7 linked regions of the Mus musculus genome follow. The protein of the gene in region 1 purifies or fractionates together with the protein of each later gene. This does not show direct contact. Links are inferred from orthologs where the notes say so. Each region holds a gene or a part of one and is shown in the gene's direction. Other genes may lie near its edges. The genes, in order: Bag2, Tuba1a, Irf2bp2, Cep170, Sgta, Dnajc7 and Dnajb1.

Region 1 (3,500 bases):
GAGCTAATAAGAGGTTGGTGAACCAGTTCTCTCCCTGGCTAGTGGTCTGGTTTGAATGCCTGCCCATGGCCTCACCTCTAGGGTCATCTGTCACTGTTTCTCTACAAAAGCTGGGAATGTGGTCACTGTAACCTGTAAGAAAAGTGACCTGGAAACAGAAATCTCTTAAATGGGTGAGATTTTTTTCTTTTTCCTTTCCTTTCCTTTCCCTTTCCTTTCCCTTTCCTTTCCCTTTCCTTTCCCTTTCCTTTCCTTTAGGTTTTTTTGAGACAGGGTTTCTCTGTATAACCCTGGCTGTCCTGGAACTCACTCTGTAGACCAGGCTGGCCTCGAACTCAGAAATCTACCTGCCTCTGCCTCCCGAGTGCTGGGATTAAAGGCGTACACCACCATGCCCGGCTTTCTTTTGCTTCTCATGAGTCAAACACCCTAGGTTTGTTCTCAGTGTGCAGTAATAGTAATTATGCTTTTGTGTGTGTGTGTGTGTGTGTGTGATAGTGTCCTATGTGACAATCAGGGTTTTATACCAAAATCTTTAAGAGGCTTTCCCTTTAAATTTGGGAAAAGGCAAAACCCCATCCCTGCAACTGTCTAGTACAGACCTAGAAGACAGCAGTCAATGCTGTAAAGAGACAACAATTGTATTAAAGACACAAAGGTTTCTAAAAGATGGTATGATCATCTAGGAAGAAATGATAGATGGGGCAGGTAGCCGTTAGACTTTAATGCCATTGATACGGCCAGCTGCAAGCTGAGCCAGCAGAAACAGCATGTCTCCAGCAGTAATAACTGACCGAAATGTAATTACAATTTTCTGCAACGAAACCCACAAGTTCTCTAGAGCACTCAGAAATCCATAAGGCTTCAGTGAAGAATATTTAAAAGCTAATAAAGAATCTATAAAACTGAAGAAAATGAGGGCTCAGTGGTTAGGAGCACTGACTGCTCTTCCAGAGGTTCTGAGTTCAATTCCCAGCAACCACATGGTGGCTCACAACCATCTGTAATGGGATCTGATGACTTCTTCTGGTGTGTCTGAAGAGAGCAACAGTGTACTTATGTACATTAAATAAGTAAATCTTAAGAAAAAAAACTGAGCCGGGCGTGGTGGCGCACGCCTTTAATCCCAGCACTCGGGAGGCAGAAGCAGGCGGATTTCTGAGTTCGAGGCCAGCCTGGTCTACAGAATGAGTTCCAGGACAGCCAGGGCTATAAAGAGAAACCCTGTCTCGAAAAACCAAAAAAAAAAAAAAAAAAAAAAAAAAAAAAAAAAAAAAAAACCAAGAAAAAAAACTGAAGAAAACAAGATATAAATTAAATTACATTGTCAAAAAGTATGTCAAATCACGCCCCCCCCCCCATTTTTTAAAGAAATCAAACTTGTACAGTTTATGTGGTGGGATAAATATCTATGTTATCTTTACAGAATAACCATTGGGGGGGGGGGAGGCCATTCTGCCAATTATTACATGGGACAGAGCCTGTGATGCTGTAAGGCAGGTGTGGGGTGAGGGTAGCCAGTTTAATCACAGGAGAGATTTAAAAGGTGCACTTTGTATAGGTAGCACAGGATCTGATGTAATGTCAGAGTCTATTTCGGTGGACTTAACAAATAAATACCAGGAAGGTAAAACTATAAATAGGACATGGGAAAATATTATGACCAGAATATGAGAAAAGCAACTTAAAACTTCAAAAGTATAAGCCACACACAAAGCCACGGCAGACTGAAAACATCGTTCAGGAATCATAGGCAGGAAGGCCAGCCTGCATTATGCCGGGAAATCCTGTTGCAAAATAATAGCAGTAATAACAGCAGCAGCAGCAGAGTTTGAGAGGTGGCTCAGTGGTGAAGAGCACTGACCGCCACTGTAGAGGGTCTGGTTTGGTTCCCAGCATCTATCCCAACCATCTGTAACCCCAGTTCCAGGGGAGTGAGCGCCCTCTTCTGCCCTCTGCGGGCACGTGCACAACGCACTCAGATGCAGCCAAAGCACTCAGGCACATAACAGCAAACCTGTAAGTAAATCGAGGCTCCCTTAGCCGGATAGGCTAACACATGCGGGCTATCCCAGGGGCTTGCGGCTGAAACAGAGCACAGGGCCACCCTGGGTAATAGAGTTCTGGGAGCGGGGTGGTGGTGGTGGTGGTGGTATCTCTTCGGTGAGGGCCAACTTCAACAAAGCTCACAGGACAGATGATTACAGATTATCGTGTCTGACCAGTAAGGAGTCAATGTGTTGAACACGCAGACTCCAGCTAAGTCACTGAAGTGAGTGTGAGTGGCCGTCTCTGAGGGGTCAGAGTGAAGAGAAGCAGAAGTTCTACACAGGACAGCGCAGCACTGAGCCCCAGGAACCGGGAGGTTCTGAAGAGTAAGCCGGGAAGAGATCGAGAGAGGGACCCAGAGGGGGGGGGGGCTACAAATTCAAAATCCAAGTGTACTAATAGAGAGTTTTTAAAGAACAAATCCATGTAAATGAGCATGGAGTCTAACGCTGCCCCGAGCAGGAAACAGCCGAGCACACAGGGGCCAGAGAGAGTGGCTGCTGCCTGCTGCCTAAGCACCGAGGCAGGAGGATTGCTGCGAGTTCTAGGCCTGCCTTTGACAGAACAGTAACACCCAGGGAAGAAACTGTTTGAAAGTAATGCCATTCACTTGTTTTCTTTCTGAGACAAGGTTTCTCTGTGTAGCCCTGGCTGCCCTAGAATTCTCTTCGTAGACTGGGGTGGCCCCCAAACTCGGAGGTCTACCTTCCTGGGATTAAAGACGAGAGTTCTCTCACCTTGGCAACTAAGAAATACATTTTAAAAAGTGTCCTTGCTGTCCTTTAAACTTGAGCTGATTGAGATGGCAGCCGAGGACAATTACCAGGAAGGACACTGTCCCTATAACAACTGTTTTGTTTTGCCAATTCACACAGGGTGGAAGCTTTGAGAGACGCAGCTACTGCTGTTGAGCAGGAGAAAGAAATCCTTCTGGAGATGATCCACAGTATCCAAAACAGCCAGGACATGAGGCAGATTAGCGATGGTGAGAGCTGTTTCCAGAGGGGCGCCTTGGAGGCCTAGGGAGTCTGGGCTGGCGTGAGTCAGGGCTTGCCTGACCCCGTTCAGCAGTAACAGCAGCTGGGGTGCACCTGCAGCTGTGGGTCCGCTGTCCGTCGGTCCGCTGTCTGTCGGTGGTCTTCCTTTCAGTGCTCCCCTAACACTGGCAGGGATGGTGGGAGAAGCCGTGTGAGCGCCAGCAGGGTGGGCAGGTAGTACAGCCCTGCAGCTCACCTCAGAAACAGTTTTTTTTTACAAGGTCCTGACTGCAGGTACAGTAAAAGCAGAGGGCCTAGGTAAAAGTAGAGACTAATAGAGATGATCTGAGGCAGAGCCGGCAAGTGCATTGTCGCGGTCATCTGAGCAGTATGACAGCCCGGAGACAGTGGGCTAGAGAGCTGCGGAGATAAGCAGCTGAACTCCCAGATCCAAAATGCTTTCCATCAACAATG
Region 2 (4,157 bases), on another chromosome or scaffold:
AAGGACCACAGTCTCTGGCTGAGCAGCCTTGGGGAGAGCAGCTACAGTTCCCACAGTCAGAAGCCCAGCTGCGGAAGGGGCTATTTACAGAATTCAGGGAACTACATAAAACTGCAGCAGGGCTGGCACTGCACAGTTGTCTGGGGATGAAAACATCACAAAATGGTTTCCTTTTATATTATAAAACGCTCCTCTTTTTAATTTGGCATCTCAGTTATTTTTTACTTGATATCACCCCTCCCCCTCCAAAAAAAAAAAAAAGACTGGAGAAATACAAGCCCACACAAAGAGCTAGTTTTTAAACTCAATTCTTTCTCCTTACAGTTTCTGAATTCCATATTAGAAAGGATGGCTCATTTCTAGGGACAAAATAACACAGGCTCTGGGGTGAGGTAGGGTGGGGTAGGGGGGCGGGCACGGAGGGGTGATGGGAGAGAATTACAGCTAAAGAAAGAAAGCTCTCTAGTATTAAGTACTACTTTGTATATTATTTCTCTCTTCTCTTCTTTCTTTCTTTCTTTCTTTCTTTCTTTCTTTCTTTCTTTTTCTTTTGGTTTTTGAGACAGGATATCACACTATATATCCAGGGTGGGCACAAATTAGCTGCAATCCCCGGCTTCCCAGTGCTGGGATACACAGGAATAAACCACTAAGGCCAGTTAAGATGACCTTGAGCTGCAAGTCTTCCTGCCTCTGACTCCCAGGTGCTGTTGAGGTCACAGGCGTGGTCTACTCGTACTGACTTTTGCTCAAATAATAATAAAGAATAACAATAATACAATAACTATGAAACTAAACATTCAGCCACGCCTTTTTGACCACCCCCGTATCTTCTGCTACTTTTTAAAGCAAATAGAGATGTTGAATTCTGACAGAACGTAATTAAATTCAGTATATTAAAAATGAAAAGCTGGAATTTTCCAAAAAGATTCTAAACATAAATTCTGTGATTAAGTGTTGGGAAAAACCTTAGATGATTTTTAAATACAGTTTAAGGTTTAAACTACGTATAATCATCCAACCCCAGTTTTCTTTCTTCCCTTTCCACCCCTCCCCAACTCCACCCCATAATGGATGCTCGGCTAGCTGCCTTTGCACGGCCTTTGTCTGAAGGATGCAAAGTCTACGGATGCTAGGGGGAAGGGGTGGGGGAGAGATTACCTCATACCATGTCGCTTGCACCAATCACCACTCTCCTGTCGCGGCTTCTCTGGGCAGACAGAGGGGTCTGGACCAACAGGAAAAGGCCCTGGCCCATCCCCATGGTGACAGAGCTGTATATAAGGAGCCGCATCCGCCCAAGTGCCGCAGGTTCTCTTACATCGACCGCCTAAGAGTCGCGCTGTAAGAAGCAACACCTCCTCCTCGCCTCCGCCATCCACCCGGCAGCCGCGAAGCAGCAACCATGGTGAGCAAGCCTTCCCCGGCTCTCGGTAGATAGAGGGTGGGTGTCAGTCGCCCCAGATCTGCAAGGAAACGTCTAAGGCTTTGGTCACCTCTGCGGGGAAAGGGTGGTCTCCATGCTTTAAGTTTATCTTAGTCTTTGAGTCCCGCCGCCGCAGTGCGGGACACGGAAACGCCCAGACCGGGAAGAACAAAGGCAGCGCCGATGAGCTAGCGCTGGCAGAGCCAGGGACTGCAGGGGACCACGGGGACCGCCGGGGACGGGTGGGGGATCGAGGGTCCGCTGCTGTAGGAGGGCAGGGGCGGCGGCCGAGCCCGAACTCCAGAAACACCGCCCCACTTCGCTAGGAAAATGTTTAGTTTGCGTCGGATCCATGGCAGCCGCTGTCAGGGAGGCGCAGGGGCGGGGTTGTTTGTCTCTTGCTTCCGTGGCGTTTTGGGAGGGGTTGGTTCTCACTAAGCCTCTTCCGAGCGGTTTTTTTTTTTTTAATTATTTTTATTTTTACTTTAAAAAAAATCGTTGTGGAACTGTAGTCATGGGATGTTTCGTCTGCAGGGCTGTCAAAAATACGATTTGCTTAACGGGGACATCTCGCTGAGGGGGGAGGGGAGCTGGATGGTTGGGGAATGACAAAGCCCACTTTGTGAATCCTAGAGTACGCTGATGGTCAGAACCCAGGGAAACGCCCTTCCCCGCCCCCCACCCCCGCAGACAATGAAAGTAGTCCCTCCACAACAGACGTGTATCTCTATAGAATGAAATATTAGTGGTATGTAGAGATTCATAGGATAAAAATATTATTTTCTACTTTTAAATTTAGCTATCTTTTCACTTGTTTTTTTAAAAAATGTTGGCGCTCATTGTTTCTAACTTAGCCTGCTTTAAGAATATTTCCATTCCATACAGTGGAAAACCTTCAAAAAACAATGGATTTTCTGCAAAGAAAAAAATTATACTCTGCACCCAACCATCTTTTGTTCTAATAAATGTGCACTAATTCATTAATTCAGGCTAATGGCCCCAGCCAGGGTTAGGAGGGACCATGAAAGCAGCACAAAGAGATCGCATAGACAGCTGCTGGAAATAGAGCTTTCTCTGTTAAATAATGTAACAGCACAGGCTAGCACCAGGCACAGAGAACGTGGCAATGCAGAAATCAGACTTTGTCTAGCTTGTCGACTAGCCAAAGTACTGATGGGGTCTGTCTGCAGAAGGGTGTGGCTCCTGGCCTCAGCCGCACTGCAGATGTCAGTGTTGAAATAGAAGGTCCTATAGTGTGAGACTCTTTATTATGTAGCCTAGCCAGAGTACTGATGGGGTCCACAGAAGGGTGTGGCTGTTGGCCCCAGCCGCACTGCAGATGTCCATGATGAAATACCAGGTCCTATAGGATGAAAACTTCATCCTTACTTATCGGGTAAAGAAGCAATTAGTATTATTATGGATAATTATTTTGTTTTACAGAATCTATGCTTTAAATATTTTTCAAATATGAAAGCTGTTCTATTCAAGCAAGGCTTTGGAAACAATGGGTTTGCACCATGTCTTAAGCAGTATTAAGGTGACATCTAGGCCACACCCACTTTTGGTGTTTGTAGTGAGTACTCCTCATTGTTCCTGTTATTAGGGATGTGACTCCAAATAAATTTCAACAATATTTCTATTTTTAGAAACACTTTAGAAATCTATTAAGATCTAAAATAGAAATACAGCTTAATATTATAACAGCTTAATTTTATAATTTTTTTCCCTCTTTCCACAGCGTGAGTGCATCTCCATCCATGTTGGCCAGGCTGGTGTCCAGATCGGCAATGCCTGCTGGGAGCTCTACTGCCTGGAACATGGCATCCAGCCTGATGGCCAGATGCCAAGTGACAAGACCATTGGGGGAGGAGATGACTCCTTCAACACCTTCTTCAGTGAGACAGGAGCTGGCAAGCATGTGCCCCGGGCAGTGTTCGTAGACCTGGAACCCACGGTCATCGGTAAGCTGGCTGGGGGCTTCCCCAGGCATTCCTTCTTGGTCACATACTCAGAATCTCTCTCCAGACCCAGAAGGGTGAGTGAGCTTGTGTGTGTCCTCGGTGGCCGATGGCTGACGTCTTCTCCCTTTGCAGATGAAGTTCGCACCGGCACCTACCGCCAGCTCTTCCACCCTGAGCAGCTCATCACAGGCAAGGAGGATGCTGCCAATAACTATGCTCGTGGCCACTACACCATTGGCAAGGAGATCATTGACCTTGTCCTGGACAGGATTCGCAAGCTGGTAAATGCCATATATGGATGGGTTTAAAATGCAGTGGGAGGGTGTCTTGGTATCTGTCAGAATCTGTCAAGTCTTTTCTATCAAGCAAATATGGCTCCCAATCTAAAGGAATTGCAAATAGTGCTAAGAGTATGCCCTCCTAATAAAACATTACATTTCCTTTTCTCCCACAGGCTGACCAGTGCACAGGTCTCCAGGGCTTCTTGGTTTTCCACAGCTTTGGCGGGGGAACTGGCTCTGGCTTCACCTCCCTGCTGATGGAGCGGCTCTCTGTGGATTACGGAAAGAAGTCCAAGCTGGAGTTCTCCATTTACCCAGCCCCCCAGGTTTCCACTGCTGTGGTTGAGCCCTACAATTCCATCCTCACCACCCACACCACCCTGGAGCACTCTGATTGTGCCTTCATGGTAGACAATGAGGCCATCTATGATATCTGTCGTAGAAACCTCGACATTGAGCGCCCAACCTACACTAACCTAAACAGGT
Region 3 (4,123 bases), on another chromosome or scaffold:
TGTTTCCTCTTGTGGCTATTCTTTGAAGCAACCTGGCATTTTTCAATAGCAGCCACCGGAGAAAAAAAGGTCAGCAGATTTTTCCCCCCTCCCTTTCCACCTTCCAATCCAGTTGTAGGAAAGCTAATGTACTTAGTACCCTGCTCTTCCCACACTTAACCAGCCCATTCCAATCTTGGGGAGAGAGGTGGACCTGCGTTGTTCACCACAAAAGCAAAAGCGGCTCTTACTCAGAGTAGTAGGTCTCAAATCAGAGCCTGACTGACCGACCACTGACAGCACACACCAGTCCCTGCTCCCTACCAAAGTGTACAATTCGGTGTTCCGTCCACTCTGGGCAGCCCTCACTGCCCAGCGTGGAAGGGAACAACGAAGCGATGCTGCCAGGCGCGTCTGTGCCCACTGGGCTAAGCCGGATGGTACAACAGACAGCCAAGTCCACCCGCCAGCGCACGCCCTAGGCGCAAAGGGGACAGCGCGCGCCCAGAGTTGGCCACTCGAAGTTCGGCCCCGCGGAGGCGGTGGGGCAGGGCCTACTAGCCAGAGACCGGGGGCGGGTCCTGAGCCGTGACGCGGTGCGCTGCAGAGCCCAGATCCCTGGAATGTGCACTAGCTCGGCGCGGCCCCAGGGCCCGCGGCGCTGGGCACGTCTTATGTGGAGTTTGCGCAGTGGCAGCGTCCCTTGCCCACGTCACGCGCTCGCTGCACAGACCTACATAAGACGCTGGGCGGCGGCGCCTGAGGAGCCTCGGGCCTGTGCGTCCTCCTTTCAGTGCACGCGCAAAAGAGGCCGGGCCTGCCTGAGCACTAAGTTTTTGTAAAACTTAAAGGGGCAGCGGCAGTGTGTAGTTGCTTCCTCGACCAAAACAGGGCAGAGTGTTGATAGCGTGCGCGCGCCCAGCTGAAGCCAAGTGAGACGCTAACAAGGAAAAGTCCAAAGTGCGCCTCGCTATGCTCCAAATTCCATGCTCAGGAGGCTGCCAGTAACCAAGTGATAAAGTGGCATTGCATGTAAAATAAAACAGTTTGCACGATTTAATCGAAAGAACAGGGCCATGGGTTGGAGCATCCTGGCTGGGTAGGCGGGGTGACACGGGACTCTTGGGGACGCGAGCTGCACACCTGCGGCGCTAGGGCCGCGTGAACTGGTCTGCGCCTCAGTCCCGGCGCGCACGCGATCGAGAAACGGAAGAATCCAGGGTGGCGCGCGAGAGAGCGCAGAGGGAGGGAGGGAGGGAAGGAGGGCGGGCGCACGGGGCCGCGCGCGCCAGGGAGGGAGGGGGCCGCGCAGGCGCCGTGCAGAGCTGTCGAAGAATCAAGTCTGTAGAAGTGGAGCGGCCGCGGCGGTAGCAGCAGCAACAGCGGCGGCGCAGGAGCTGAGGCGCAGTGGGTGCTGTGCAGCGGCCGCGCCGGGGCCCGGGACCGAGCTGCACGCCGCCGCGCGCGGCATGCCCCGCCGCTCGGGCTGAGCTGCCCCGGCGGCTGCCCCGCGTCCCCCGTACCTCGCGCGGCTCTGCGCCCCGGGCGCCAGCGCGACCTGCTGCGCTCGCGGCCCGTCTTTGCCCCGGTCTGGAGGCCCCAGCCCGCGGCCCCGGCCGAGCCGCCGCCCCCGCGCGCGCCGCGCCGCCCCGCCGCCCGTGGGGACCTGCAGGCGCGCCCCGCCGCGCGCCCGCCGCCCCTCGTGCCCCGGGGGCGCCGCGCGGGCGCCGCGCCGGCCCGGGCTCTGCCGCCGCCGCCTCCTCGCCTGCGGCCGCCGCCGCCGCTAGTCGCGCAGACGCGGGCTTGGGCCGGCCGGCGCGCGCGCGCGGGATCCACGGGGGGCGGCGGCGTCCCCTCACCCGGCTCCTCCTGCGGCGCGGCGGGCTGTGCGGACATGGCCGCGGCGGTGGCGGTGGCGGCCGCCTCTCGGCGCCAGTCGTGCTATCTGTGTGACCTGCCCCGCATGCCCTGGGCCATGATCTGGGACTTCACGGAGCCCGTGTGCCGCGGCTGCGTCAACTACGAGGGAGCCGACCGCGTGGAGTTCGTCATCGAGACGGCCCGCCAGCTGAAGCGTGCTCACGGCTGCTTCCCGGAGGGCCGCTCCCCGACCGGTGCACAGCCCGCAGCCGCCAAGCCACCGCCACTGTCGGCCAAGGACCTACTGCTGCAGCCGCCGCCGCAGCTGGGCCACGCGGGCGCCGAGGCCGCGCGCGCTCAGGCTATGGAGCGCTACCCGCTGGCGCCGGATCGTGCCCCGCGCCTGGCCTCCGACTTCAGCACGCGTGCGGGTGCAGGCCTCCCACAGTCGGCCGCGCAGCAGTCCGCGCCGGCGAACGGCATCCTGGTGCCCAACGGGTTCTCCAAACTGGAGGAGCCGCCGGAGCTGAATCGCCAGAGCCCGAACCCTCGGCGTGCACACGCCGTTCCGCCCACTCTGGTGCCTCTGGTCAACGGTTCTGCCGCGCTGGGGTTGAGCGGCCGTGCTGCGGCCACACTGGCCGCGGTGAGCGGAACACCGGGCCTGGGAGCTCAGCCCGCCGAGTTGGGCACCCACAAACGCCCGGCGTCTGTGTCGAGCGCGGCGGCGGAGCACGAGGCGCGCGAGCCGAGCAAGGAGAAGGCGCAGCCCGCGCACCGGAGTCCGGCCGACAGCTTATCCAGCGCGGCCGGGGCCAGCGAGCTGAGCGCCGAGGGTGCAGGCAAAGGCCGCGCGCCCGGGGAGCAGGACTGGGCCAGCAGGCCTAAGACGGTGCGGGACACGCTCCTGGCGCTGCACCAGCACGGCCACTCGGGGCCCTTCGAGAGCAAGTTCAAGAAGGAGCCGGCTCTGACTGCAGCAGGCAGGTTGTTGGGTTTCGAGGCCAACGGGGCCAACGGGTCTAAAGCAGGTAGGGGCGACTGCGGGGCGAGGGGAGAAGGGATGGAGGGCGTGGGGTTAGAGGCAGCGTTTGAGCGCCCGCCCACCCGTGTGTGTGTGTGTGTGTGTGTGTGTGTGCGCGCGCGCGCGTGCGTGTGTGCGCGTGGGTGGGTGGGTGGGTGGGTGGGTGGTAGGGATCCATTCTTCCATGCACAGTTTTGCCTTAATCCAGAAACAACAAACAGCCAACTTCCTGGTCGGCCCGGGGCTGAACCAGAGCTTAGTGGCAACGTGGTCCCTCTGCTGAACCAGCACAACAGGGATGAGTCAGAACGGGTTGATAGGCAGCGACACGGGGTTTTCCTTTCCCAGCACATTCTTGGATGGAAGCGTGAGGGCAGCAGTCACCCTTTAACCTGTCTGCTAAATGCAGTCACATGAGCTGGTCTGGGGTTGGAGCCTTTCAGGCAGGATCCCATGACTTGGCTTACCTTGGAGGTGGTGTGCAGGCTCAGAGCCCTTTATTAGGGGAAATGTTTGAAGCTGCGTGCAGAACTATGTGTGTTTTTGAAGATGAGAGCTGTCTCTTTGGGGGTACGTTAAAGTTAATCTTCCTTTTCTTCCATACCTGTCTCTTTCCAGTTGCAAGGACAGCAAGGAAAAGGAAGCCTTCCCCAGAACCGGAAGGGGAAGTCGGGCCCCCTAAGATCAATGGTGAGACACAGCCTTGGCTGTCCACTTCCACAGAAGGGCTCAAGATCCCCATCACCCCTACATCCTCTTTTGTGTCTCCACCACCCCCTACTGCCTCTCCTCATTCCAACCGGACCACACCGCCTGAAGCGGCCCAGAATGGCCAGTCCCCAATGGCAGCCCTGATTTTAGTAGCAGACAATGCCGGGGGCAGTCACGCCTCAAAAGATGCCACCCAGGTTCACTCCACCACCAGGAGGAACAGCAGCAGCCCGCCCTCTCCCTCCTCTATGAACCAAAGAAGGCTTGGCCCCAGAGAGGTGGGGGGCCAGGCCACCGGCAGCACCGGAGGACTGGAGCCGGTGCACCCTGCCAGCCTCCCAGACTCCTCTCTGGCAGCCAGCGCCCCCCTGTGCTGCACCCTCTGCCACGAGCGGCTGGAGGATACTCACTTTGTGCAGTGCCCGTCTGTCCCTTCGCACAAGTTCTGTTTCCCTTGCTCCAGACAAAGCATTAAACAGCAGGGCGCTAGCGGAGAGGTCTATTGCCCAAGTGGAGAGAAGTGTCCTCTGGTGGGCTCCAATGTCCCCT
Region 4 (4,109 bases), about 140 Mb from region 1:
GTTATAGTCTGGCTGTATACCTATTGCTTATTTAAAGCCCTGTCCTTTTTTGTTTGTTTGCAGTCTGACGTTGTGTCATGTCCTTAGCAACAGTAATGTTTTTCTGTTCTGAGACATCCAGGGGAGGGGAATCATGGTTCTTGAAAGTTACATTCTTGTAATAGAGGGTGAAATTCTGTACTGCTTTCCTAATATTAAAGTACTCTTTCTTATGAACTGATATTCTTAATAAGTCATAAGTTTTCTTTGATACTAGTTGTAGTTTTTATTGTTTTTAACCATTAGAAACAGCACCCTTATATTGGTTCTCATTTTGTTTTCTGAAATTTTTTGTCTGAAAATTACTGATGCAGTCTATATAAATATCCTTATGTATATTTACTAGTCTCATACTTCATTTATAACATGGGTGATATTTCTGAAGCAATGATTTACCCTTACTGTCTACTCAGTTTTATCTGTTTTAATGTGACTATAGTACAAATTCATTGACGTTTTCTTGAATGATGATTCTATCTTCTCATGTAAGGGATTAGCTTCCCTTCCTGGCTTTTGAACATTTATAAATTCAATAAACATCTCTAATGTCTTCATCCTGTCTGAGTAATTGTCATAGCCAAGGATAAAACCATCCAGATTTATAAATAGAATCAGTGCCACATAAAATGTGCTGGGGGTGGAGAAGTGATACAAAGGTAATGAAAATTATTTGTAGTTTGGTTACTTTTCTCTTTTCCTTGATTAACAAAGGAATTGAATGAGACTAGGAGTTTTGAAGATATGAGTGATATCACTATATGATAATAAAGTTGAGTAAGGAAAAGTGCTATGAAGCAGAATTTATCAGCACCAAGAAAGGCATTGCTGTTAAGTTTGTGACAACTGTAGACTCCAAACACTACAGCATGGGCTTAAATGAGGACAGTGGTTTCACTACAACTGTGTTTAGACCATAGCTGCAGAATTAATCATGAAAAGTTGGCAGAATTTTTACAAATAGCATTGATAAATCCTAAGCCGGTTGACAGAAGAGAAGGCAAAAGAAAGTGAATAAAATTAATCAAATTAGAGAGTGAGGGATGGTAGACTTTCCTTTTTGATTTTCAATCTGTAAGTACATACAAATGGTTCAAGTGGTTCAATGTTTTTAAATGGTGTGTAAATTCCTTCCTACCACTGTTTTGTAAATACTGAATTACCAGTTTTGCTAATGCAGTGAAGCACCTTTATTATATATTATGTATCTCAATTCAAACAGTTACAAATAATAATCTTAACCCTCCTTCCATCTTTGGCAGGAAAGAGAGGCTCACTGCACACTCACTGTATCTTGAATGCTGTTACTTCTGAGTGTTTGAGAAATGAGTCTTCAGAAACAGTGCTCACCACCCCACCCCGATATTTAACATTCCAGTAGAAGTGGGGGAAGACACACGTAGGTATCTGGGTAGAGAATATTCTCATATGCAGTGTGGTTCTGCAAGGAATGGGATAAGTGAATTTGAGAACAATGAGGCCACTGTGACTGGAGATGAGTGAGAGAAGGGAAGAGGAGGAGGAATTAAAATGGGATGGAGCTTTTATTGGTTGATGTTATTTAAGTACCGTGGGAATTTATTGAGGACTTTGAAAGGATTGTTTTATATGTAGCAGTGACAGGGGTGCAAGTATGGAAATAAAATGAGCTAAGAATTAATTGGAGTGATATAAGCAACTGTACTTGAAGTACTGTGATGGTGATGGTGAAAGTTGTCCATGTCTGGCTTTACAGAATCAAGAGTTTCTGTAAAAGCTAGGAATCTCCTTTTGAACATCTAAGTAAACATATCAAGTGGGTAATGGGATGCATGACACAAATTCTGAGGAGGAGATTTATGGATTCTTAAAATTAAAACACTACCAGTAAACTGGAAGGGATCAAATTGTGTGGTACCCCAGAAACCAAGGGAAGAAAGGAATTTTGGAGGTAAGAGTGTCCAGTCACTGTATCAAATTTAATTACTTGAGAAATATATATATGTGCATATTTATTTATTTATTTATTTCAGCACCAAGAAAGGCATTGATGTTGTTAAGTTTGTGATAACTGTAGACTCCAAACACTACAGCATTAAATGTTTATTATATGTTATATGTTATATGGAATAACACATCACACATTCAAGCCTCAGAGCTTAAATAGGAAGGAATCTTGCATTCCAGGCAAACATCTAGAAATCTGATTTGAGCCAATCATAGGAAAGAGGCATAAAGTATAAAATAATTTGGTGGAAAACACATTGGAAACAGACTTCCTGTGGAACTGTAATTTAAAAATATAAGAGCTGAGGGTATAGCTCAGTGCGAGACTCTGTGCTTAGCATATGAGAAGCCCCATCTTTTGTCCACAGAATAGCAGAGCACACACAAGGCAGTTATCCCTTGGTATCTAAGTAGAATAAAATCTTCCAGTGCTTGAGACCTTTAAATAAAATTGGAATAGTATTTGTATATAACCTATTGACATCTTCTTAAATACTTAGAAAAAAGCTACAATTATTTGTGTACATGATATGCTACACAAGAGGAGGCCAAAGGATATCTCGGAGGAGTCAGTTCATTCCTTCCACTGTGTGAGTTCCAGGGACTAGCTCAGGCCATCAGGCTGGGCAGCTAGTGCCTTTCCCCACTGAGCCATCTCTGATTGATCCTCCTATGTACATTATCTAAATTATCTTTGTGTTACTTACAGTGCCTAATACAATGCAGTATTCCACAAATGCTTAATGTTCTCTATCACTTGAGGAATGATGGCAAGTGAAAATATCTGTGTATGTTTAAAACAGGCATAATTATTCTCTCCTTCCAGTATTTTTCATCTGAGTTTCTTGGATCCATGAGTTTGGAACCCTTGGGAATATGTGTTTGTATATGTCCATATATATATATATATATGTATATGTATATATATATTGAGGACTTTAGTGTTATTTGCTGTGGTTGCTCAAGAGAAATCCTCCTAATTGTACAGCTAACACATTGCAAAGTGAAGGCTACTTATTTTTTTTACAGATTTAAATATAATTGTTACATATTTTAAAATTTCTAAAAGCTCTGAGTCAAAAAGCACACACTTTGATAATTCACCAGCTATTATTATCTCTGTCACATAGTCTTGCCTAGTCTTGTTTAATTTGGCACGATTCTATCTTAGACTTTGTCACTAATTTTTTTAAATATTTTTATCAAGTTAGAAAAATTATAAAATATTTGTATAAGCACGGGAGTGAGGAAAAAAATCTCATTTTGAAATTAGTGTGAGTTTTAGAATTCTGCATTTGTATTTGCATCAGATCTGATATATCTCTTTCAAACCAAGGGAAAACAGTGATTTCCACACAGATCTGTGAGAAATGTCCATTTTAATGTTTACAATTTTAAAACCAATTTAAATAAATTACAGGTTGGTAAAATAAACTTCTATGCCACTATATAAAATCTGAATTGAAACACTGGGAATGTAGTTCAGTATAGATACTGCCTAGCATGTGTGGGCAGTTAGGTTTGGCTTTGATCAGTAGCACCAGGGGATTGTGCAGGGGGATATTGAGAATTTTTTCTTAAAAATAAAGTGGAAGCCATAGGAAAATAACTACAAAAACTGTATATGCTTTTGTCAGTGCCTTAGTTAAGGTTTTTTACTATTATGACGAGACACCCTGACTAAAGCATGTGTGGTCCAGTCAGGAACCTGGAGGGAGGAGTGGATGCTTAGGCCACGAGGTAGTGGGGTGCAGCTTCCTGACTCGCTCAGCCTGCTTTCTTATGGAATCAGGACCACAGCCCAGGAATGGCACAAGCTACAATGAGTTGGACCCTTCCCCATCAATTAGTAATTAAGAAAAGGCTTGCCTACAGCCCTATGTCTTATAGTTGTGAAAACTCCAAGGGCTACTTTTAAAGTTTTAGCAAGTTAAATATCTGCTGAAGGTCTTTTCCTTAGAGATAGCATCAACTAAGTGTGCAATGGGATAGATGAGCAAGAAGCTCCTTCTTAGTTTCTGTGTCTTTTGTATGAGTACTGATTCTGCTCCCTCCCAAAGGCTGCATCTCATCATCATCATCATCAT
Region 5 (3,500 bases), on another chromosome or scaffold:
AGACCCATCTGGTCACCTCTGTGAAGACTCTGTCTCCAAAGGTCTCTGGGGTTCGGGGTCTCTGTTAAGAAGCTTAGGGGACACTGTGTGGCAGGTGATATGGTCTGCTTGTGGGATCCACGGCCGTGGGTACCAGCCTGGGAGCAGCCCTCCATAATGCTTTCTTAATGTGTGTTAGCTTGAGATCGGATTCTGCTGCTCTCAGGTATTGGTCCAAGGCTGCTTTCTAGAATGTTCTTAGGTGCTAGGTGAGGGGCTGAAAGCATGGCAAAGTGGTAGTAACTGGTGCAGTTGGCATGCATGTCCTCAAGCCAGGGTGCCTGGGTCACACAAGCATGTCTATTGGTGATTGGCCAACACCCCACCACAACTCCTCCATTCCAGGGTGCTCAGGACAAAGGGAATGGCGGAGGTGGCCTGCCGTGCATGGGGGAGGGACAGGCACAGGGAGCATGGGACACGGAAGGATGTGCCTCACATCACCACCTCCATTCCAGAATCTTACCCAGCACCTGTGAATACTGCTGGCTTCACGTCTGCCTCCAGGGGAACTCAGGATGGGGTGCTGAGCTGGGCTGTCCCCTTGGGTGGCTGTGAAGTTCTTCAACTCTACTTAACAGGCACCACAACTGGGCTCTGGCGTGGAGCAGAGGTCCACAGCCTCTCACTATTGTCTTTGAGAGTCCCATGCATGCTGGCCTCTCCATTACATGCAGGGCTATGGTGGCTGTCATGTGATCGCATGCTAGGTGCCAAAACTTTAGGCCAATTTCTTCTGTCTAGACTAGAGAGGCCACAAATCTGAACTGGCATGGTTCGAGCTTCCAGGTGTCTTTCTTTCTGCCTTCTCTCAACTCTGTCCTGTGGTGTCTGCTGTTGTACAGGGGTCTAAACACTCTCTGAGAGTGTCTGTCAGTGCCAGTCCACCCCTCATGGCTCCCTCTGAGGCTCAGGGATGCGGCCTTGACACTGTGCCCACTCTGACTCACCTGCTGCCTCTGAAAGTTCCCTGGGCTGAAGTCACTCTGACGTGGTCAGGAGAGCCACCGTCAACTGTCCCTCTAGAGTCCAGAACTGTCCTTGTGTCACCACATAGTGCACCTTGCAGACCAGGGCTGTGAGCTGCAGCACCTCCAAGCTTTGGGTATAGGGTGGATCGAGGAGCTGGTGTCCTCAAAACCTTGGGATCCCAGAATATAGCCCTGCTCATCGTGCACTGTGGCACTGACTGGCTGGTATGCTGCAAAAGGGTAAATTGAGGAAAAGAGTGCCCTGAGGCAACACTGTCAGCTCAAGGCATGCCCTTCTCCCTAGCACTGTGGCAGACAGGTCTGTGGTTCCATGCCCAGGCTATCCCCACCTGTCATGGGGGAGGAAGAAAGGCTCTGCACGGTGGCCCTAACACTGGAACAGACCAGTTCTCCTGGACTCTGGTAGTGGTCGGGTCTGGGACCCATGAGTCAAGGACAGATCTCCTCCATCTCTGGCTCCTCACCTAGTACTTTGTGCTGTTCCCACAGATCCTGAGCAAGCAGTGTCACCTCACTAGTCTCGAGATGGACAACAGGAAGCGCCTGGCCTATGCCATCATCCAGTTCCTCCATGGCCAGTTGCGGCACGGTGGGCTCTCGTGTGACGCCCAGGAGAGCCTAGAGGGTGAGTGTGGGCTGCTGCCCTGCCAGCCTCTGCTAGGGCTCAGGATGCCACAGATGCAGGAGGCAGGCGGCTTCTGAAGCTGAGAGCCGTCCTTCCTGCTTATGTGTGTGAGGGGCCTGTTACATCTGGTCTGTTTAAGAGGCTTCTGGAAGCTTGAGTTATTTGCTTGCTGTCGTAGCCAGCTTTCCTGCAGCCTGGCAGTTTGTCTCCAGGAATTGCAGATCCACAGTGTGGATACCAGTTTGCAGAAAGGAGGCTGCCCCAGGCCACAGGGACACTAACCTCTCCACAGTGGCTTGTGCTGATAGTCCAGGTCAGAGCCAACCCCTGCATTGTAACCCCAAAGGACACACCACCTCAGGCCCCATGTGTCTGCCCTCTTACTGTCAGCATAGCAGGGGCAGACCAGTGAGCATGTGTGTCTGAGAGGCTGACTGCAGGGGACTGAGAAGGACTGAGGTACAGGGCCAGGTGTTAAGGCGTTTGGAGACTCACTAGGGCTGTGCTGGGGCCTGCTGGGAAGAGCACTTGCCCAGCTCGTGTGAAGTCCCGGCTCAAACCAGGTATGGTCGTGCTCACCTTTTATCCCTGCACCCAGGAAGTGGGTGCAGGTGGATCAGGGTTTCTTGGACATGCTTGCCTATGTAGAGAGTTCAAGGGTACCCTGGGCTTACATGAGAGTCTATCGCAAGAAAAATGGAAGATGTCAGAGCTTCCTGTGGGCTCCAGTGAGGTGGGGCCTCCCATGAGCTCCAGTGAGACTGGCTTATCTCATATCCTGCACAGTTGCCATCCAGTGTCTGGAGACAGCCTTCGGGGTGACGCTGGAGGACAGTGACCTTGCTCTCCCCCAGACCCTGCCAGAGATATTTGAAGCAGCCACTTCCAGCAAGGTGAGCCTGGGCTTCCCTTGACTGTGCCCACGATGGCAGTGTGCCGTTCTGTGCTGAGGCTTGACAGCGCTCTGAGCTGTGTGGCATCCTGCAAGGGCAGGTGTGGCAGGGTACAGTGAGATTGTTTCACCCCCAGCAGGAGATGCCACAGGACCCGCGGGCCCCTGACAGGACACCACCCTCTGAAGAGGACTCAGCTGAGGCAGAGCGCCTCAAAACGGAAGGTGAGGGAGACAGATGTCCCCATGGGGTCTGTGCAAAGTGCTGTAGGGATGCAGCCCAGATCAGCCAGGTCCCATTGGCGGGGGCGGGGCTGGGGAGCTGAAGAGATGGTGTGGCAGTTAGAGGCTTCCTGCACTCTCAGGCAGCTAGCTCAGGGCTGGTTCTAAGCCCAGGTTTGGGGCATCTAGTGCCCTCTTTTGGTGTCTGTGGGCACTGCACCTACACACATACACACACATATCCCCCACTCAGAATAATATATATTTATGCTTTAAAGTGGCAGACTTAGGCAAATCTCTGTGAGTTCAAGACAAGCCCAGTCCACATGGTACATTTAGGCCACCCAGAACTACATCATAAAACTTTGTCCCCAAAACAAAACAAAAAATATTTTTAAAAATTAAAAGATCCTGGTTTGGTGGCTCAAACCTTTAATCCCAGCACTTGGGAGGCATAGGCAGATGGGTCTTTGTGAGATTGAGGCCAGCCTAGTCTGCAGAGCAAGTTCCAGGACAGGAAAGACTACATAGTGAGACCCTGTCTCAAAACACCGAAGCCGAGGAAAATAAAGCTTCATGGCCTGTGTGGATGACGCAGCTCAGGAAACACCCAACCCACGCGCTCAGGCAGACTCCTGGTCTTGATTGCAGGCCACGTGTGGCTCCCAGAAGGCAGGTGGTCTTGGCATTTAACCCAGGCTGACCCTCCCTGTCCATGGCTCTGCATGGG
Region 6 (4,162 bases), on another chromosome or scaffold:
AAATTCAGGAAGGAAGAAAAAAATTGTTTCCCCCCCCCCCGTTGTTGAAAAATGGGTGAAAAATTAAATTCGTTAATTAAGGCAGTGGTTCTCAACCTGTGTGGGTCATGACTTTTTTTGGCAAACCTCTATCTCCAAAAATATTTACATTACAATTCATAAGAGTAGAAAATTTATAGCTACAAAGTAGCAACAAAAAATAATTTTACGGCTGGGGATCACCATGACAGGAGGAACCATATTAAAGGGTCACAGCATTTCAATTCACTGAGGTCCAGCTATCATTCTCTATCCAGTGGCCCAGGTAGTTTCCACTCCGTCAGTAATGATAAGGACCTACAAATAAGGTTAGGGACTTTGACACACACTTTCCTTAAGGGAAATTTAAATTCCATTGTCTTATTTTCGTTCCTTTTGGCTTTAAATTACAATTTCAAGGTCGTCTCCTCCCCACATTTAACCTCAGAGGGCCTCAATTTAATCCAACACTGTTGTGTGTGGTAGTGGTACTACAAAGATAATTATGCTGTCTTCCCAATCCAGACAACATCTGGCCAGACAAGCGTGCTGGGTAGAGTTTATGAGAAGTAGGAGTACAGGGGACACTGAGGAAAAGGGACCTCACCCCATGAGCTGCCTTATAAACTCCGGGGCAGGGGCTGGCGCGCCATGTCATCCTTTCTAGGCTTAACGCTGAGATGGCACTCCCAAGCGGCTGACATGAAAGCAGCCTCATAAAAGGGTCCGCGTCATTGGGGTGATGAACCAGTTGGTGCTTAGAGATCCGTGGAGGATGAAAGGAGCAGGGTGAAGACGCCCTGCGTTCCCCTCGCTTGGTTGGGCAGGGCTTCCAGGAACTGATGAAGCTGGGGATTGGGCTCAAAGTAGCTCTTCATGCCTTTCCAGGGAGGAAGCTGTGGACACACTGCAAAGTCAGGAAGGTAGTCTTGGGGGGGGCTTTTCTTCCTCAAGTGTCTTGGGGACCCCGTCTCCACCCACCAGGGACTCCCAAGCGTTACCGGAGGCTCTCTAGGATTGCTAGTTGTTATGGCAACCGGGCTGTAGGGATACTGAGGCAAGCTTAGGCCCAGAGAGGCAACCTCCTTCTGTACCCTCCTCCTATTCACGGGTAAAGTGGCGCCCCCTACGCACAGGAACCGTCCCTGGGCCCCCGCCCCAGCGCGGAGACCACCGTGGACCTCCAGGGATGGAAGGCCGCTCTGGCCCCAAGCGGAGCCTCTCGTTGGTAGACGGGCTCGAGGGAGTCCCTCTGGGCGCGGCGCCGCCGAGCGGCTCGATGCTCCGACCGGAAGTGCTCTACACCGTCTGCCTCCCACCCGGCTCTCTGGTCCCGGCGGTAAGATGGCGGCTACCGCGGAGTGCGATGTGGTAATGGCGGCGACCGAGCCTGAACTGCTGGAGGACGAAGACGCCAAGAGGTAACCAACCGGGTGGTAGAGTCATGGAGGAGACGAGCTTGCAGCTCGTGGCTTGGGGCAGGTGGACCCGCCAGCGAGGCAGCCCCCAGATGCAGAGACGATGGCTCTCCTGCAGACACCCCCCGCCCCCATCTGAGCTGGAGTCGACCGAGATCCCTCTGAAGGGGTACACTTAGGGGGTCTGCTGTCCCCTTCTGCTTCCGCCTAGCAGGGAGCTTGAGGCATGGTCTTGTTCTGCCGCGGGGAGGAAGGTGGACTTCATCGTGGAGGCCGGGTTCCCGGGCGGGGGCGGGGGGAAGGGTAGGAACCCCAGAGGTCGGCTGCAGAGTGGGGGAGGCGTCGCGGCGACAATGACGACTTCCTTAACAGAGCCCCGACCTCCGCCCGCTCTGGTTAACTTGTGTGCATTGTTGCCCGTCCTGACTGGTCGTCTCCGAAGCCCGCATTCTCCTCCTCACTTCCCTTTCCTCACTAATGACCCTTAGTGGTCTCTAGTGTGAGGCTGAGAGAATTGGATGCTCACTGTATGGACCTGGTCGCCCCCCACTCCCCGATAGCCGTAGAAGTTAAGAATGGATAGACAGAAGGGCGAATGAGGAGCTTGTCTCTTGCAGTACGGGGGCAGACGCTTCTTCGCCATTCCTCCCAAGAGCATTCTTAAGCTCAAGGAGAACAGCTGTTTAAATGCAGTTGGCACTGCTGGGCAGCTGCAGTGGCTCGGGATTGCTAGTCTGGCCTAGCCTAGGGAGGTGCTGAGTGAGTGGTTTTTCTCGAACACTTGGTGAATTCCGACACCAGCTTAAGAACGGGTTTTCAAAGCGGGGTGGGGTGGGGTGGGGTGGGGGGGTTAGAGTACGCTTGGGAGCGGGCGGGACTTGTTCTGATACCAAAGGTGAACTGATTCTTTTATCAGTAGCATGATTAATTTGATCCTTTTCTTAGGATGGACTACAGTCCCCTTACTCTCCTTCCCTTGTGGTTCATGTTCATACCAAGCCTGTAGGGAATGTCTTCAGGCTGAATAATTTGAACAGAGTCAGTTCAGGAGGTCTAGAAATCAGGATTCTGAGGGGTTTACTGTCCAAGTTAGACTTATAAGCGGTACTCGGAGAGATACGGGGAATATTGTAGTCATCAGGTGTATGGTAGTACCTGACTTGAAAGCTGAGATGCTAGACAAAGTGTAGTTGATCAAGAGCTATCAAGTTTAGCCTTGCCTCCTCCTCCTCCTGTTTGAGTTTCCATGTCATTACAGTGTCTGGAGTTAAGCATCATCCGCTCCTATATAACTTAAGGTATTGCCAAATGAGAACGGAAGCCCCTCGCTAACACAAACAGAGCTTACATTTTATTTTACTTATATTTGGAAAGAATTTAGTGCTTCTTACTGCTATAAATAGGGACTTTGGCTATATGTCATTTGAGGAATCTATCCTACTCAAGTGTAAATCTCCTGTAGAGAGTGTCACTGATTCGGACTTGAAACAGGTCTCTATGTAGACCAGCCAGTCTTGAACTCATAGAGAACCGTTCATCTGCCTCTGCCTCCCAAGTGCTGGACTAAAGGTGTGCACCGGTTACACTAGGCTAACTTCTGTGTCCCCTCTCTAAAGCAACTCCTCCTTAAAAGACCAGATTAGCTTTAGAGGGTATTTTGTCATAAATGGTCATAAATGTTTATGGACAGATATATTAAACAAAGGCTGAGTATGGTAGCACACATCTGTAATCCTTGCACTTGGGAGTCAAAGGCAGAAAGAGCTGGAATTCATCAGTCTGGGTTTTATAAAAAGAAGCTAGACGTGGTGCTCACCATAATCCAGCACTTGGAGGCAGCGGCAATCGGACAAGGTCAAGGGCAGCCAGATATCCACAGTTTTAGGCTAGGCAGGGGTGTGTGTGTATGTGTGTGTGTGTGTGTGTGTGTGTGTGTGTGTGTGTGTGTGAGAGAGAGAGCGAGAACATAAAACAGGAAAACAAATAGTGTTACAATGCAGCCACATCATGTAAAGCATGGTATTTGGTTAACTGATTTTTTTTTTTTTTTGTGGAATTTAATGTTATTGATTATAAAATAGTTATTGGGACTGGAGAGGTGGCTCAGTGGTTAAGAGCATTGACAACTTTTCCAGAGGACCTGGGTTCAATTTCCAGCACCCACATGGCAGCTCACAACTGTTTGTAACTCTAGTTCCAGAGGGTCTGGCTCTCATAGACATACATGCAAGCAAAACATCAAGGCACAAACAAACAAACAAACAAACAAGCAGTTATCTACTACCAAGTCAGTATAACTGTAAATAAAAGTGAAAATTGCATTCTTTTTTTTTGGGGGGGGGGGGTTCGAGACAGGGTTTCTCTGTGTAGCCCTGGCTGTCCTGGCACTCACTTTGTAGACCAGGCTGGCCTTGAATTTAGAAATCTGCCTGCCTCTGCCTCCGCTACCACGCCCGGCTGAAAAATGCATTCTTGCTGGGCGGTGGTGGCACACGCCTTTAATCCCATTTAGCACTTAGGAGGCAGAGGTCAGCAGATTTCTGAGTTCAAGGCCAGCCTGGTCTACAAAGTGAGTGCCAGGACAGCCAGGGCTACACAGAGAAATCCTGTCTCGGGACAAAAAAAAAAAAGAAAGAAAGAAAGAAAGAAAGAAAGAAAGAAAGAAAGAAAGAAAGAAAGAAAGAAAGAAAGAAAGAAAGAAAGAAAAATGCATTCTTAACAGACGT
Region 7 (3,970 bases), on another chromosome or scaffold:
CAAATCCATGGGGAGGCGGGGGGCAGGGCTCAACTGGTTCGGTTTTCATGGGGTCAGTACAGTTAGGAAAATCAAAACACATACACCACACACAGCTATACCATTAACGGAAGGCTAAAGTCATTTTTCTCAGGGGTGCCTAGGGCAAGGGTTATCTGACTCTCCTCCTACAGAGCTTCCAGAAAGGGAATGTCAACAGTTGTCCACTAAACAAGATGATTAATCATCTCTTTCAAGAACACCCTTTGTCCCTTGTCTTTAACAAATGCAGAATAATGTCAACTTCACCATATTCCACGACCATTCCCTTTGTACAGATGACCACACTGAGACCAGAAAAGCTACTCTACCAACCCAAGGTCACACAGCCAGAAAGTGCTAGGATGAGAGTCAGTCTTTCATGCACTTTCAGGCAGTCCCATTCCCTGCAAGAACCACCAATGACTATTCCAGCTTCTCTATGCCTTCCAATATCTGAAGCTCTCTCCTCTTCCTCACTCAGCTCCGTCCTTGACCGCCATCATCCCAGACTTACAAAACCAAAAGCAAAAAGCTATACTATATCAAAGTATTTGGAAATATTTACGAAGCACCCAGTGGATCTTTAAAAAAATCACGCAGCCCTGGTGGTAAACTCAGACGGCAAAGGAAGTGACAAGTATCAGAACGCCAAGAGGCGAGCTAAACCCAGTAGGAATTAGTAGGAAGTAAGATAAACCGGAGAGGCAGCCCGACTGCAGCAAGCCCAAGGCAGACCAGTCTCACCTCGCTTTACAGTAACGGCCTTACGGGAAAAACCAAGGGCTACGGGCAGAAGAGGGCGGGGTGCCTATTTTTATCCCTGGGTTAGAGCAGGAAAGCTTAGAGGTACTTGTCAGGTAGCTACCACAAGTCACGCAGCAGAACCTCCCAGCCGGCGATAACCTGGGGGAAAGGGTGCGGCCTTTCGGAGAGGCCCGTCTCTGTAGCCCCGCCCCTCTTCGCGCCTCCACCTGTCCGCAGAGAGAGAGAGGGTTGCGATTGGCTGGATCCGCTACGGAGGCGGAACCCCAGCAGCCGGCGCGCGCGCCCGAGGAAGGCGTTGACCAGAGTAGAGAGGGAAGGGGCGTGGCCCCGCGCGGAAAGCCGTTGGCAGCCGGGTCCCACCCCGGATGTGCTGCGTCACGGAGCGGGCCGCAGCGATTGGCCGGTGTCGTGCGGCGCATCGGGAGGGGCGGAAGGTTCTGGAGGGCTGGCGGGATCTGGAAGCTTCCGCCGGACGGGTATATAGAGTCCGGGACGGGGCAGCAGCGGAGCCGGAGGCGGCGACAGCTGGGCGGCGGTGGCCATGGGCAAGGACTACTATCAGACGCTGGGCCTGGCCCGCGGCGCGTCCGACGACGAGATCAAGCGAGCCTACCGCCGCCAGGCGCTGCGCTACCACCCGGACAAGAACAAGGAGCCCGGCGCTGAGGAGAAGTTCAAGGAGATCGCCGAGGCCTACGACGTGCTCAGCGACCCGCGCAAGCGCGAGATTTTCGACCGCTATGGAGAGGAAGGTACGTGTGCGCGCGGCCGGGGTGACCCGCCGTTTGACAGGCGGGGAAACCGAGGCACTCGGAGCCTCTCCAAGACCTCGGCCGGGGACAGGCATTCCGGGGATCTAGCGGCGGCGCCGCCTCCTTCACCCTCTGATCCGCGGCCTCAGACAGGAGGAGGAGCTCTGGGCGCGCCGCTGGCACAGAAGCTTCTAGCACGTCTGCCGCAGCCCCTCCCGGTCGGTCGCCTGCACAGCGCCGGAATGGTGCAGATGGAGGGCGGCGGTCGCGATGGGAATGAAAATTGCCCGAGTATTGATTCTCTTTCCTAGCCGCAAGCTCAGTGTTCGCTCACCCAGGGTTGAGCCTTTTTGGTAACAGTGCGTAGGAGCTTCTCTGTAAGATGGTAACAGCATAGCTGGGAGGATGGAGCAGTCACGTAAACCTGGTCGCACCGAGATCTAGAGGCCTTACTACCGAATATGTTGTCAGGAAGTAAAACGGAGTAGTGTGTTTCTTGCTCCTATTGCCATTGGGAGTTAAAAGACTTGAGATTCGTCCTTGACTAACAAGCTTTTTAATATATACATAAAATCCCTCCCGCTATAGTTCCTGTGGCCTTTTTACTAAGAGCAAAACTTGTTGAGCAGAGTGCGGGGGCTCACACCTCCACATGGGAAACCGAATTAGGAACGCTGTGAATTTGCTTCAAATCAGAGCTACAGGGTAATAAGCTCCTGTTTCCAAAGGAACCGGATGTTGTGACAATCCCCCCTCTGGGGTATTTGAGTCAGGAGGATTGCCTTGAGGCTACTCTGGACGAAAGTTTGTGTGTTACGTGGCATTGACAGTAATACATGCAAAAGGAACAAAATGTGACCATTTATTTGAGACAGGACCTCACTGTTGCTGGAACTTTGTTTTTCAATTTATTTGAGCGTGTGCCTCCGTGTATATGTGTATACCATTCACATGCTTCTAGAGAAGAGGGCATTAAAGGTCCCGGAACTAGAGTTAGACCATGGTCTGCTGCTATGTAGGTGTTGGAAATTGAACTTGGTTCTTCTGCCAGATGAGCCAGTGCTCTGAGCCATTTCTCCAGCACCTCATGGTGGAGCTCTGGCTTGTCTGGAACTTGCAGAGATCAGTCTGCACTTGTCTTGAGAGTGCTGGGGTTCTGAGCTCTTTGTTTCAGGGGTTTTATGTTTTATAAGTGTGTTGAAGTGTTGGGGGTGGAGGGAGGTGGGGCTGACTCTCCAGCAGTAACCCTGACTTGTGGTTTTGGTTTCCAGGCCTGAAGGGTGGTAGCCCCAGTGGAGGAAGCAGTGGTGGTGCTAATGGTACCTCTTTCAGCTACACATTCCACGGAGACCCCCATGCCATGTTTGCTGAGTTCTTCGGTGGCAGAAACCCCTTTGATACCTTTTTTGGGCAGCGCAACGGGGAAGAAGGCATGGACATTGATGACACATTCTCTAGCTTTCCAATGGGTATGGGTGGCTTCACCAACATGAACTTTGGACGTTCCCGCCCTTCTCAAGAGCCCACCCGGAAGAAGCAAGATCCTCCAGTCACCCATGACCTTCGGGTCTCCCTTGAAGAGATCTACAGCGGCTGTACCAAGAAGATGAAAATCTCCCACAAGCGGCTGAACCCTGATGGAAAGAGCATTCGAAATGAAGATAAGATCCTGACCATCGAAGTGAAGAGGGGCTGGAAAGAAGGGACCAAAATCACCTTTCCCAAGGAAGGGGACCAGACCTCGAACAACATTCCAGCAGACATCGTCTTTGTTTTAAAGGACAAGCCACACAATATCTTCAAGAGAGATGGTTCTGATGTCATCTATCCAGCCAGGATTAGCCTTCGGGAGGTAAGGTGCTAGGTGGGTGGAGGAGTCATAAAAAGAGATGGCTGCTGTGAGAATAATGGGTTGTGGGGTTGGGGGGGCTTTGGAGTGGGGTGTCAGCGGGCCTGGTCTGGTAGACCTGACCCTTCTCCGGACGGTCTGGAGGAGTGAAGCTCCTAAGCCAGCCACTGCCTGACACTGTCCTTTTGCTTCCCTAGGCTCTCTGTGGTTGCACTGTGAATGTCCCTACTCTGGACGGCAGGACCATCCCTGTTGTATTCAAAGATGTCATCAGGCCTGGTATGCGGCGGAAAGTCCCTGGAGAAGGCCTCCCTCTCCCCAAAACACCTGAGAAACGTGGAGACCTTGTTATCGAGTTTGAAGTGATCTTCCCGGAAAGGATTCCCGTCTCATCCAGAACCATCCTGGAGCAGGTTCTTCCCATATAGCCACCTGCACTCCTCAAGGACTGAGCCAGGGGCTTTCAGAGCTGCAGATCTCCAGACCGTTCCACTGGTTGCATACTGCGGGAGGGCCCAGGGAGGGCTTTTGCTCTGCCGAATGTTTTCCACAGAATATATTACAATCTTTCAAAGTCGCGCAC

What was found.
Region 2: the proteins of Bag2 (region 1) and Tuba1a purify together in Homo sapiens (affinity purification with mass spectrometry; 4 studies listed by BioGRID and IntAct, with this or other methods). This does not show direct contact. The link is inferred for Mus musculus from reciprocal best matches to the Homo sapiens genes BAG2 and TUBA1A.
Region 3: the proteins of Bag2 (region 1) and Irf2bp2 purify together in Homo sapiens (affinity purification with mass spectrometry; 3 studies listed by BioGRID and IntAct, with this or other methods). This does not show direct contact. The link is inferred for Mus musculus from reciprocal best matches to the Homo sapiens genes BAG2 and IRF2BP2.
Region 4: the proteins of Bag2 (region 1) and Cep170 purify together in Homo sapiens (affinity purification with mass spectrometry; 3 studies listed by BioGRID and IntAct, with this or other methods). This does not show direct contact. The link is inferred for Mus musculus from reciprocal best matches to the Homo sapiens genes BAG2 and CEP170.
Region 5: the proteins of Bag2 (region 1) and Sgta purify together in Homo sapiens (affinity purification with mass spectrometry; 3 studies listed by BioGRID and IntAct, with this or other methods). This does not show direct contact. The link is inferred for Mus musculus from reciprocal best matches to the Homo sapiens genes BAG2 and SGTA.
Region 6: the proteins of Bag2 (region 1) and Dnajc7 purify together in Homo sapiens (affinity purification with mass spectrometry; 7 studies listed by BioGRID and IntAct, with this or other methods). This does not show direct contact. The link is inferred for Mus musculus from reciprocal best matches to the Homo sapiens genes BAG2 and DNAJC7.
Region 7: the proteins of Bag2 (region 1) and Dnajb1 purify together in Homo sapiens (affinity purification with mass spectrometry; 4 studies listed by BioGRID and IntAct, with this or other methods). This does not show direct contact. The link is inferred for Mus musculus from reciprocal best matches to the Homo sapiens genes BAG2 and DNAJB1.

The regions. Positions count from the first base shown.
Region 1 is NC_000067.6:33,747,751-33,751,250, reverse strand, and holds part of Bag2 (BAG family molecular chaperone regulator 2), read left to right. Parts: intron 1-2,924; coding exon 2,925-3,034; intron 3,035-3,500. UniProt on the Homo sapiens protein: Co-chaperone for HSP70 and HSC70 chaperone proteins. Acts as a nucleotide-exchange factor (NEF) promoting the release of ADP from the HSP70 and HSC70 proteins thereby triggering client/substrate protein release.
Region 2 is NC_000081.6:98,950,702-98,954,858, reverse strand, and holds the start of Tuba1a (tubulin alpha-1A chain), read left to right. Parts: upstream 1-1,357; 5' UTR 1,358-1,405; coding exon 1,406-1,408; intron 1,409-3,167; coding exon 3,168-3,390; intron 3,391-3,522; coding exon 3,523-3,671; intron 3,672-3,844; coding exon 3,845-4,157. UniProt on the Homo sapiens protein: Tubulin is the major constituent of microtubules, a cylinder consisting of laterally associated linear protofilaments composed of alpha- and beta-tubulin heterodimers.
Region 3 is NC_000074.6:126,591,187-126,595,309, reverse strand, and holds the start of Irf2bp2 (interferon regulatory factor 2-binding protein 2), read left to right. Parts: upstream 1-1,323; 5' UTR 1,324-1,873; coding exon 1,874-2,870; intron 2,871-3,481; coding exon 3,482-4,123. UniProt on the Homo sapiens protein: Acts as a transcriptional corepressor in a IRF2-dependent manner; this repression is not mediated by histone deacetylase activities. Represses the NFAT1-dependent transactivation of NFAT-responsive promoters.
Region 4 is NC_000067.6:176,804,325-176,808,433, reverse strand, and holds the start of Cep170 (centrosomal protein of 170 kDa), read left to right. Parts: upstream 1-1,309; 5' UTR 1,310-1,435; intron 1,436-4,109.
Region 5 is NC_000076.6:81,050,272-81,053,771, reverse strand, and holds part of Sgta (small glutamine-rich tetratricopeptide repeat-containing protein alpha), read left to right. Parts: intron 1-1,520; 5' UTR 1,521-1,556; coding exon 1,557-1,656; intron 1,657-2,442; coding exon 2,443-2,549; intron 2,550-2,685; coding exon of another isoform or gene 2,686-2,688; coding exon 2,689-2,773; intron 2,774-3,421; exon of another isoform or gene 3,422-3,500. UniProt on the Homo sapiens protein: Co-chaperone that binds misfolded and hydrophobic patches-containing client proteins in the cytosol. Mediates their targeting to the endoplasmic reticulum but also regulates their sorting to the proteasome when targeting fails.
Region 6 is NC_000077.6:100,616,805-100,620,966, reverse strand, and holds the start of Dnajc7 (dnaJ homolog subfamily C member 7), read left to right. Parts: upstream 1-1,362; coding exon 1,363-1,439; exon of another isoform or gene 1,440-1,786; intron 1,787-4,162. UniProt on the Homo sapiens protein: Acts as a co-chaperone regulating the molecular chaperones HSP70 and HSP90 in folding of steroid receptors, such as the glucocorticoid receptor and the progesterone receptor.
Region 7 is NC_000074.6:83,607,005-83,610,974, forward strand, and holds the start of Dnajb1 (dnaJ homolog subfamily B member 1), read left to right. Parts: upstream 1-1,170; 5' UTR 1,171-1,327; coding exon 1,328-1,538; intron 1,539-1,543; exon of another isoform or gene 1,544-1,756; intron 1,757-2,809; coding exon 2,810-3,390; intron 3,391-3,584; coding exon 3,585-3,815; 3' UTR 3,816-3,970. UniProt on the Homo sapiens protein: Interacts with HSP70 and can stimulate its ATPase activity. Stimulates the association between HSC70 and HIP. Negatively regulates heat shock-induced HSF1 transcriptional activity during the attenuation and recovery phase period of the heat shock response.